Linked DNA regions of Rattus norvegicus. The protein of the gene in region 1 purifies or fractionates together with the protein of each later gene. This does not show direct contact. Links are inferred from orthologs where the notes say so. Each region holds a gene or a part of one and is shown in the gene's direction. Other genes may lie near its edges.

Region 1 (4,836 bases):
TTTTCTGTCTCATCAGTGTAGTTATTTTTGAGCCGCCTTACTCTGTACTGGTTTTTGACCTTGTAGTGGCATTGTTTGATGCTATTTAGGCAACTTTAAAGTGGTGTTCTTGAGGGTAAATCTCATTTCCTTGTGTGTACTGTCGCAGTCCTGGACCACTGACTACAGCGCCCCTTCCTCCTCTCACTCACTTTGGGTTGCTGTAGATAGAGGTTCTCCTCCCTCCAAGTTTGCTTGTACTCGATGTTTTAAAACATCCCAAAGCCGAGGAGACTTGTCACTTGACCCAGTGTTGTACGAGTTTTCTGGAAACCTTTCACCTTTCTTTGTAGTAGCCCTGTAACATAATGCCGTGCTCCTTCTGCCTGGTTAAAGTGTGATGTCCGTTTGTGTAGCCACTTTGCTACTTCAGATGTAGGAGGTACCTGGCAAAGCAGGCTCCACGGTAGAGTTTTATTCAAATACAGATGTGTCTGGCTTTAGTTCCCATGTAAAGGCCTTTGTCTGCTGAGCTGAGCTGGAGCTAAGCAGTGGCTCCTGGACTTTGGTCCTGAGTCCCATTCACAAGAGCATGTTATCCCCAGTTATGGCCGTCCTAACACACAGACAGACAGACAAGTTATAACTCAAAAAAAAAAAATGCCCATTCGTTTAAAGACAAGATTGCTGTTCTTTCAATAGCTTTTTTTCCCTTTTCTGTATCCATGAAGCATTTTTCTCCAGGGGCCTGGAAACCATTGGCTTATGTGTAACTGTAGCTATCAGGAACCAGTTAGTGTCTGCTGATGGAAAAAAACATGGCGATGCCCCCTGTCCCCTGCTGCTACACTGTAGGTGGGCTCTGTATAGCGAGTCCCTCTTCCCCCACAGATACACGAAGGAGAGAGAGTGAGAAGTCTCTAGAAAATGAAACCCTCAATAAAGAAGAAGACTGTCACTCTCCAACCTCTAAGCCTCCTAAACCTGACCAGCCTCTAAAGGTAATGCCAGCCCCTCCACCAAAGGAGAATGCGTGGGTGAAGCGAAGCTCTAACCCTCCTGCTCGATCTCAGAGCTCAGACACAGAGCAGCCGTCCCCTACAAGGTGAGTGGCCTGTGACAGCAGCTGCTTAGCTGGAGGTGCCCTGAGGGAGTGTGGCCTGTGTGATATGGCAGATGAGGTTGCCTCCTGTATAATTCATACACTGTTGTCTCAAAACATGTTTTCCTGATTTTTGTTGGCCAGTTGACATCACTTTGATGGGTTAGGATCAACTATGGTGGGAGTATTTACCCCAGAAATACTAGACATGCTTTGCCCTGGGACATACAGTGTAACCCTGCTCACTTCAGTGAGTCTCTTCAGTTTTTCCCAGACTCCAGCTAACCATGCTGGATTTCCAAAGCATGTGACACTTAGTACAGAAGTGACTGTTTCGTTGTCTTTCCAGTATTCTAATATCTTAGTGTGGGATACCTACTACATTGGGAAAATGGTGTAAGCTTGTGTTTTCTGTAAAAATTGATGGCTGATGACTTGCTTTATTCCAGTGGTGGAGGGAAAGTTGCTCCAGCTCAGCCCTCTGAGGAAGGACCATCAAGGAAAGGTGAGCCCATGCCAGGAAAGAAGTAGATTTTTAATCCAGTTAAATCTTTGAGTGCAGGGGTTGGGGATTTAGCTCAGTGGTAGAGCGCTTACCTAGGAAGCGCAAGGCCCTGGGTTTGGCCCCAGCTCTGAAAAAAAGAACCAAAAAAAAAAAAAAATCTTTGAGTGCAAACACATCCAGTGGTGCCTTAGTCAGGGTTTCTATTTTGCACAAGCCTCATGCTCATGACCAAGAAGCAAGTTGGGGAGGAAAGGGTTTATTCAGCTTACACTTCCACATTGCTGTTCATCACCAAAGGAAGTCAGGACTGGAACTCAAGCCGGTCTGGAAGCTGATGCAGAGGCCATGGAGGGATGTTACTTACTGGCTTGCTTCCCCAGGCTTGCTCAGCTTTCTCTCTTTAATAGAACCCAAGACCACTCACATCACAACCCACAATGGGCTGGGTCCTCCCCCTTCATCACTAATTGAGAAAATGCCTTACAGCTGGGTCTCATGGAGGCATTTCCTCAAAGGAGACTCCTTTCTCTGTGAGAACCCCAACTTGTATCAGGTTGACACACAAAACCAGCCGGTACAAGGGGTTAAAATAACTGTAAAGAAGAACTCCAAGATTAAACACCTTGCCAAAGAATCTTTCTTTTTTGTTGTTTATCTAGGCAGGGTTTCTCTGGGTAGCCCTGGCTGTCCTGGAACTATGACCAGGCTGGCCTCTGCCTCCTGGGTGCTAGGATTAAAGATGTATGCCATCACCACCTAACCTAGCAAGAGACATTCTTTAATGAAAGCTGCAGTGTTTTTTCAGCTCTTTTGGTCAAGCACTTGGATGCATGTACATGGTGTATTTCAGTCATATTCATCGATGCAGCCCCGTTAGCCTCTCTACCCCTTCCCAGCCAGCTTCTACTTTCCATGGCTTTTGTGAGGGAGTGGCCTGCTGGAGTGGCTATACTAATGTTCTGTGAGCTAGCTTTTTCTGCCAGTAGAGGGCAGGAATGACTTCTTCAAAGAGTACTTGAAGCTGCCTCTTCATGGTAAAGCTTGCCTTTGTGGGGAAATTGGACAGGAATAAACGTATCTGTCCAGGTTCAAAACGTTGCCATTAGTAAACCAAGGTCACTACAGTAGGACTTTTAATGGAAAGAAAGGCCTTAGGCTGGTTTGGAGTGGGGGTAATTCCCCTTAATGAGTTCTTCATGTAAGGACAGGGAGATGGATTTCTGTATAAGCCTTGAGTTTGGTGTTGTGTTTCTCCTTGAACAGATGAAACTAAAGTGGATGGGGTGAGCACCACCAAAGGCCAGACTGGACACTCCAGCCGTGGTCCTGGGGATGGAGGGAGCAGAGACCACTGGAAGGAGTTGGATAGGTGTGTATATTTTTTCCTCACCGTTTATGAATCTGGTATCAGATGCGGGGATCTTTATGAAGTGGTTCTGGGCTTTCTCAAGTACTCCAGGTCTACCTCTGAACAAGCTAGAGTCCCGGTTAGATTTGTGGAGCTAAAGTGATGCATTGTCCTGGCCACAGTGTTGAATAGGATGCTTGTGTCTCTGCAGGAAGGACGGCAAAAAAGATCAAGACTCCAGATCTGCACCTGAGCCAAAGAAATCTGAGGAGAACCGAGCCTCTGTAAGTACCGTGCACACGCCTCTGCTGCTCAGTTCTGTGTCTGACTCCCTTTTCTTCAGTGGAAGTGAGGCATCGGTACTGTTCAGATCAGTGAGAAAAGCTAAGGTCGGCATTTGTTGTTGAAACCACCTTTCTCGGCTCCCATAAGGAGGAGATGTGTGGCTGAGTTCACTCGTGCCCCTGACCCTCCCTGACCGCTGTACCAGAACATGCTCTCCCAGAAGAATGGATGTGCCATGACATCGATGTTGTGTTTTTAGGTTTGGGTAGGAGAATCTTGGACTCTGTCCATGACCTTGTCCTCTCTCCTCTGTCACAGAAGTTCAGTTCTGCAAGCAAGTACGCTGCTCTGTCTGTGGACGGTGAGGATGAGGATGAGGGAGACGACTGCACTGAGTAGACCTCCACACCTGTGCTTTCTCCTTGTCTCCACCCTGGAACATTCAAGAGCAAATCAAACCTCTATCCAGACAAGACAAAATAAACTCACCATCTCCTGAAGACCTTTCTAAACTTTTTTTTTAATGAAATGAAATTCTTTTGCATGCTGCTGCAGCCTTTTAAAGTATTGGAGTAACTGGAGAATCACCATTGTAGCCAGAGATGCGGCTACCGCTTCTGAACAGGGAAGTTGTGTCTGATGATACCAAGCAGTTACCTGTGTGAATAGTGCCTGGGGCTCCATTCAGCAGAAATGCAGTGACAGAGAGGCAGTCACACCAGTTAGGCAGTAGAGAACGCAGGGAGAAGTGAGATTTCCACCTTCTAATTCTTATCCTAAGGTGGCACCTGTGAACCCCCACACATTACCTGAACAAACTTCCCATCCTTAGGTAGCTCTAGTCTCTCAAGCTGTTTTAGTCTCCAGGAGGCTGCCAACCCCTCTACTTTAGTTCTGACTTCAGTGGGGCCAGCCTAGGGAGAATTGTTTTTTGTTTTGTTTTTTTTTTTACCCCCCAAGGGGGTAGTTGGGAGTGAGTCTACAGGCCACTAACAGTAGCACCGCTTGGGGACCAAAATGAATGGGAAATTCAATCGTGGTTTGAAAAGCTTTGGGGAGGTGATCGATTATATTTTATACCAGGTAGTAAGGGAAATGGTGTGACCTCCAGTAACTACATGAATAGAGTGGTCGTTTCTGGATGAGGAAGCACTTACAGGTCGTGGGAAGTTCTAGTCTTGTGTGTCCTGGTTTTGCCCCTTCTAAACTGTCCTCTCTAGAGGTTTGAGCATATCCACATTCTTTGAAAACCTTGTCACTCTGGCCATCTCATGTTCTCCATGACACTTAGACTCCCAGAGCTGTCTCTGAGTCACACACCTCCACAGACATTGTATCTTGGCCACAAGAGCAGGGCCTGAGGACTCACTGCTTTTCCAGGCAGACCAGCTCTGTGCTTTCTTTATCTTTTGATTCCTGCCCTATCTGCTGCTGTCATCCCTGACTGATGGGCTTGGGTGGGGAATGGGGTGTAGACGGGGTGAGTTGGAGCCTTCAGCCTTCGAGTGTTTAAAGGTTTCTGTCTATAAGTTTCCTTCACTGAACCCCACACCGGTGCTTGAGTTGTCACTGCTTTTCTGCCTAGGAGGGCTGGCGTCTTTACTCCCCTCCAGAGTA
Region 2 (6,275 bases), on another chromosome or scaffold:
CACAAAAAAGGGGCATAGCCAATTAGCCTCAGGTGAGAGTAGGGCCTTAATTTCCTCTTTCCGTGAATCCAACCATCTTTGGAAGAGCCAAGAATAGACTTGCAGACAGAAAAGGGCATGGACAGGGACAGGCAAATAGCAAATATTAGCAAGCCTAAGTGGCTCTTTATGGAAGTACAGCAGTGGTGACCTAATGAACCTCTTAATCACTGTGTCCTTGTAAACATTGAAATCTCAATTTGAAGCTACAATGGCTGTCTAGTCCCAGGTTTGAAAAAGTAGGACAGCCTATTTTCGGTCGTGTCAACATGCTTTTAATCCCCGCCCTTGGAGGCAGAGACAGGCAGATGTCTTGAGTTCAAGTGCAGCCTGGTCTATAGAGTGAGTTCCAGGACAGAGAAACCCTGTCTTAAAAAACAAATAAAACTCTAGGACATCTCCCCATTCCTGTCATTCTTTTAGTTTTGTAATGGATAGGATGTCTACAAATTCCTCAGCAGACTTTCTATGCCCTCCCATTCTCTGCCCCAAAGTCATTATTTTGGGGGAGTTTGTGGGTTGTCAACAGGTGAAGACAGCCAAAAGAAAAAAGTAGGTGGGGAAGTACAGAGAATTAAAGTCATCACTGACCAGTAGAACTGAGAGCAAGAAAAGGGTAGCAGCCTAATAGGATGCTTCTCACCCAGAGAGACAACCTCCAGACTTTAAGGACATCTGGTAATATCTGGAGATACACTGCCTTTGTTCTGAGGGTTTTCTAGTAGTAGAGATCAGGGAACAGCTTAATACACCAAAGTGCTGCTTCTCACAAGAAAGAAATTGCAATGGTACTGAAGTCTGACATAGAGCCTGGTACACCTGTAACCTGTACTCCTAGCATTAGGGGGGCTATGGCAGGATGATCACCATGAGTTCAAGGCCAATCTGAGCTTCATGTTCAGAACTGAGACCCTATTTCAAAAAACACCAAAAGAACCCCTGGCCCATTCAATGGTTCTCACATGTTTGGCATTATATTTCCTTTATATTAAAGATTGAGGACGCCCAACGAATTTTTGCTTAGTCCAAGATACCCTCTGAATAATTCCACTGTGTATGCATGAAAATGAGTGAAGATACTGCAGAAATATTCTTGATTTTGTGAACCCTCCTGAGAGGGTTTCCTGAGCTGATAGCATGTGACCACAGTTTGAGGATCTACCTGGTGTTTAAGGACACAGTTCTGGAACTAGGTGTGCAGTGCTATGGCACATCCTAGCTGAGGACAAATGATATCACATTTCTGACTGTCGGCTTCCTGCATTGTTACTCATGGGCAAAAAACAAAATACACTTATCGCCATCCAAGGCTACTATTTAAATCCAACAAGTAAGTCACTTAAACTGGGCAGAGTCACTATTTGTTTTGCCTCCAACAAACACATCAGATTTGTCTCTAGTTCAAGAAGCTGAGTGTTGAAGTGCATGCCTGCAATCCTTCATTTTTGAGGCTGAGGCAGGAGGATCAAGGCAAATCATTTGCCATCTTGGGCTTCATAGAGTTGGAGGAAATTCTGGGCAATTTAGCAAAAGGCCCTGTCTCAAAGACAGAAAAGACAAACACACAAACACACACACACACCACAGAGCCACACCCTAGTTCAGGCTCTCAGGCAGATAGTAAACTCTATTTGATAAAAACAAACAAACAAACAAACAAAAAACTACTTTACTTCATGTATATAAATGTTGTTTACCCTGTATCCATATATGTGTACCATATATGTGTACCTTGTACATTTCCTTATATCCGCTGTTATGGATGGTTGTGAGCCACCATGTGAGTGCTGGGAATTGAACCCCTATCTTCTTCGAGAGCAAGGAGTGCCCTTAACCTCTGAGCCATCTCTCTAGACCATACATTTTTGGTTTTGATGGACATGAAAGGTAATTCTAGTTAGGCTAACAGAAATGCTGCTTTCACAATAGGGGTCTGCAGTGAAAGACTTGCCCTGAGCATTCCTTGTGAGGCTCTAAACACACACATTTGCTCAGTTTGGAAACCTTTGGCCTCCACCTTTTCACCTGGTGCCCTGGTGTTAGAGAATTCCACAAGGCACTAACGTCTTAGTTCTAAACTAGAGGGTTAACCCCTGGTATTGGTTACAGAGACCACAGACCACCACCCAATTTTGACCAAATTGTGACGATTCCAAGATGGCAGTAGCCCCCTGATTGTTGGGGGGCTCTGCTTCCGTTTCCGGGACAGAATCCGGAAGTGCCAGTTGAGGGTCGTCTTCCTATCTTCAGTTGCGTCGGCAGTTGGAGGAGGACGGACGGTGATGGCGGCGGTCGCAGCGGACCCAGCTGCAGCTGCCGTCCCGGCCTCTGCTGAGGACAGAGAGACACAGCCCGAGGCAATGCCAGACCTGGATCAACAGTGGCGCCAAATCGGGAATGGGCGAGAGCGTCCACTGCGAGCTGGCGAAAGCTGGTGAGGCTGGGCTTCAATGAAGCCTTGGCCAAGGGGACCGTGGGGTTGTTAGTATCGCGGGGTACTTAGAAATCAAATTCTGAGGATGAAGCGGTGCGAGGCGGGGAAGGGGCTCGGGCTGGCGGTAGAGAGGGGGCGTGGAGGTGCTAAGTGAATGAATCTCAACCTTTAGGGAAGAGGCGGGGCCCGAGTGGGGCAGTCAGCCGCCTGAGGACAAAATGGGGTTTTTGGTAGAGGTGGGGTGGGAAGGGAATGACCATGGGAGTCGGGACTGCATCATTTGGGGAGGGGGGTGAGAGGGGACTGCGTCTGGGGGAACCTGGAGCCTGGAAAGGAGGCTGGCTCCATACTTAAGGCGGGGGCGTGGCGTGTGTTACGAAACGTTGCGTCGGTTGAAAGGAACGGCCTACGAGTACTCGAAGCGCCTGTGAACCCAGCGAGCTTGGTGGCGTCCGCTGAAGAGCAACTCCATAGCCTATAGCTGTGGGCCGAGGGGCGGAGGAGTGTGGTACAGGGGAGGGTGCCTGGCTCCTGGGAACGAGGTGAAGGTCTGGGGAGGGGCAAACTGTGGAGGAGGGGCAGTGCCTCGGGCAGAAAATGGCGCCTGCAAAAGAGCAAAGATTGTGACGCGGTATTTTTTTGTTTTTTGTTTTTGTTTTCTTGATTATTTTCCCCCCGTAGCTAAGGTCTCCTTCCTAGAACAGGAGAAAGCAAAGGCGATTTACAAAAGGTTATTTGGGAAATTTTCTTCTACGTGATAATATTTTGTAATCAGTAGAAATGGGTATTTAAAAAGAATCCACAGCTTTTGACAAATTGTCAGACCGATTTTTAAAAAATGCTAATCAGTGCCTCTTAAAATTTACTGCTCCCCGGGTTTCTTTCTGAGTTGCTTCTCGTTTATTTTTAAATTGTGAAAATCATAAGACCTACAAAGATGATAGTATAAAACATTTTACATAAATTGATGGACATCCTGCTGAAAGGAATGGTTTGTATGCTTCAAAAATGGCAAGGCCGTGAAAGACATATGCTGAAGAACTGTTCCAGATTGAAGGAATTAATGCAGTTTAACAATTCTATGCAACACATAATTTGGATCCTAGAACAGGAAAAATAAATTATTTTTTAAAATGAGGGTTCTTTCTCATAATTTATTTCTCTTTCACTATAAATTTTACTGGAAAACAATTGGTGAAATTTGACTGAGGCCAGTATATAAAATATTGGTACTGATAATTTTTTTGTTTGTGATAATTGTAATGTTCTGAAAGAATATCCCTTGTTTGGTGAAAAATACAGACTGAAAATTTAGGGATAAGGAACCATTCATTGTGTAAACAACTTACCAAATAATTGAAAAACTATCTTATGTTAAAATGCACATGGGAGGGAGAAAGCTATGGAAATACTACTGGTCATAGGGTGCAAATTTTAGTTAGACAAGAGGAACAAATTCAAGAGCTTCCTTGTACAAAATGGTGTTTAGAGCTAATAACATCCTATTCTATACATGAAAATTGCTTAATATTTACATGATCTTACACCAATAAATATGTGGCATAATTAGTATGTTAAGTAGTTTGACTTAGTGTTTTACAATGTATATATCAAAACATCATGCTGTATACCATCATTGCACACTTTTTGTCTAGTTTAAGATAAATGAAAATATCCTCAGAGATGATATGGGGAAAAAAAGAATAGAACAAATGGATAAAGTGTGTCCGATTTGGGGAATCTAAGGGCATACAGAGAAGTCTTTGTATTATTTTGTCCCCTCTTTTTAGACACAGGGTCTCTAGTCCTGGCCGTCAGGGAAGTCACTATACCAGGCTGACATTGAACTCAGAAATCTGGCTGAGATTACAGGTGTACTCCACCATGCCTGGCTTTTTTAAAAACCCATTTTCAGTGAGTTTACTTCAAAGAAAAATTACTAAATTTAAATGTGGATTCATCATCACTCATGTGAAGATTCAGAACATTACCTTAAAACAATCATATTGCTTCTCCCAGATAGAAATTCCCCTCCATTGTCATAGGAAACGAGCACCCTAAATTTTGAATTAAAGGTCTCTTTTCACATTTCATTATCATAATAAACTTCCAGTATTCATATATAAATTTGTATATGTAGACATATACTATATATACAAATGTGTTTATGAAATAGACCATATACATACTGTAAGCTCTTATATTATTACATGGTAAATAGTATCTTTATGATGTAATTTGAGACATTAACCTTGATTGGTTGGTTATAGCTCTGCCAGGTTTCTCAAATGTTAAGACACTGTTTTTCTCTTAAGCAGTAACTTTAAAATAGATATTTAAATTTTTATTTATATGTTATGTCCATCTGTTCCTCAAGATGTCCAAGAGCTTCCTGTCTCATGCAGTATAAATGGTAAAATCCTGAGTGACCTGCAAGGCTTTTGGAGGCTGGTACCCTTTCTCTCTAATCTCTCTCAGCATCAGCCCAAAAGCCCCCTTCCTCTCTCCATCAGGGACATCCACATTAGACTATTGATGTTCTTTACACTTTAGGACCTTTTCCAGGTTTTCCCACTTTACAGGCTTCCTAAACAACACTGCCAGTGAAATGTGTATGCATTACTAGGGAGATAAATTACAATTCCAAAACTAAAGGATATAGTGACGTCTTTCTGCCATTATCTCATAGTTCTCCAGCAAAGACTAGCCTCAATCCATCCTGAAAACAACAGTAACCATACTGTTTTTATAACTCATTTGGAGATGTACAGACAGTTCTCAAAGCTTTGGTTTATGCCTCTTTCCTACATTGACAGATGTGCCATGATTGTGTTAGTGGTAGATAACACATGATCCTGTCATCCTTACCAATAGCCTTTTAAATTAGCCTGCCAGGAGAGGATCTTTTTGGGGGTGAGGAGACATTTGAAAGTAAGTAGAGGTGGTGGGTACACAACATTGTGAATGTACTAAATGTTAATGATTGTTCACTTTAAAATGGGTTAATTTTATGTTAACTTCACCTCATTAAAAATAATTACCACACCAGTGTTGGTTGAGTATTAAAGCCAATTTGTTTCTCCTGTTGGAATTGTTATGAAGCATTTTGCCAAGCTCCACTTTTTGATGCTTATCTAAATTAGGTAAGAGCAAAGTATCTCAGAGTTCTATATGGGTTTGTGTCACAGTTGAGAAATATGTATTTATAAAGCATCTGAATTCAAGGACTAGCTTCAAATCATACATCTGTCAGTATTATCTGCACTTCCCACCCTTAGTTTAATAATAGATTAAAAACAATTCCAGTTAATTAATTTGGTCATGTTTACTGATTAAATTTCTTAGATGCATTTATTTGGGGGCAGGGTGGGGTACAGCATGTGCTGGAGGAGGTCAGAAAACTACTTGTAGGACACAGTTCCCTGTATTTTCTGGGGGATCAAATTCAGGTCAGCAAGCTTGGCAGCAAGCACCTTTACCTACTATACCATCTTACCCACCTTACACCTTATTTTTTGCTACAGGGCTTTTCATTGAACCTGGACCTCTGTTTTAGACTGGCCAGCAAACCTCTGGGATTTTGTCTCCATGCCCACCTCAAGTGTTAAGATTACCACTATGCCAAACTTTGTTTTTTCAAGACAGTAGCTTTGGCTGTCCTGGAACTCACTTTGTATACCAGGCTGGCCTCAAAGTCGCAGAGATCTACCTGCCTCTGGCTCCTGAGTGCTGGGACTAAAGGTGTACACCACCACCACCACTACCACCACCACCTGACTCGTGCCAGACTCTTTGCTCAGCT

What was found.
Region 2: the proteins of Eif4b (region 1) and Usp11 purify together in Homo sapiens (affinity purification with western blotting; 3 studies listed by BioGRID, with this or other methods). This does not show direct contact. The link is inferred for Rattus norvegicus from reciprocal best matches to the Homo sapiens genes EIF4B and USP11.

Annotation. Positions count from the first base shown.
Region 1 is NC_086025.1:135,101,627-135,106,462, forward strand, and holds part of Eif4b (eukaryotic translation initiation factor 4B), read left to right. Parts: intron 1-870; coding exon 871-1,084; intron 1,085-1,530; coding exon 1,531-1,586; intron 1,587-1,826; exon of another isoform or gene 1,827-2,179; intron 2,180-2,849; coding exon 2,850-2,955; intron 2,956-2,976; exon of another isoform or gene 2,977-3,145; coding exon 3,146-3,218; exon of another isoform or gene 3,219-3,537; coding exon 3,538-3,618; 3' UTR 3,619-4,836. UniProt on the Homo sapiens protein: Required for the binding of mRNA to ribosomes. Functions in close association with EIF4-F and EIF4-A. Binds near the 5'-terminal cap of mRNA in presence of EIF-4F and ATP.
Region 2 is NC_086039.1:4,039,074-4,045,348, reverse strand, and holds the start of Usp11 (ubiquitin carboxyl-terminal hydrolase 11), read left to right. Parts: upstream 1-2,312; 5' UTR 2,313-2,321; coding exon 2,322-2,473; intron 2,474-6,275.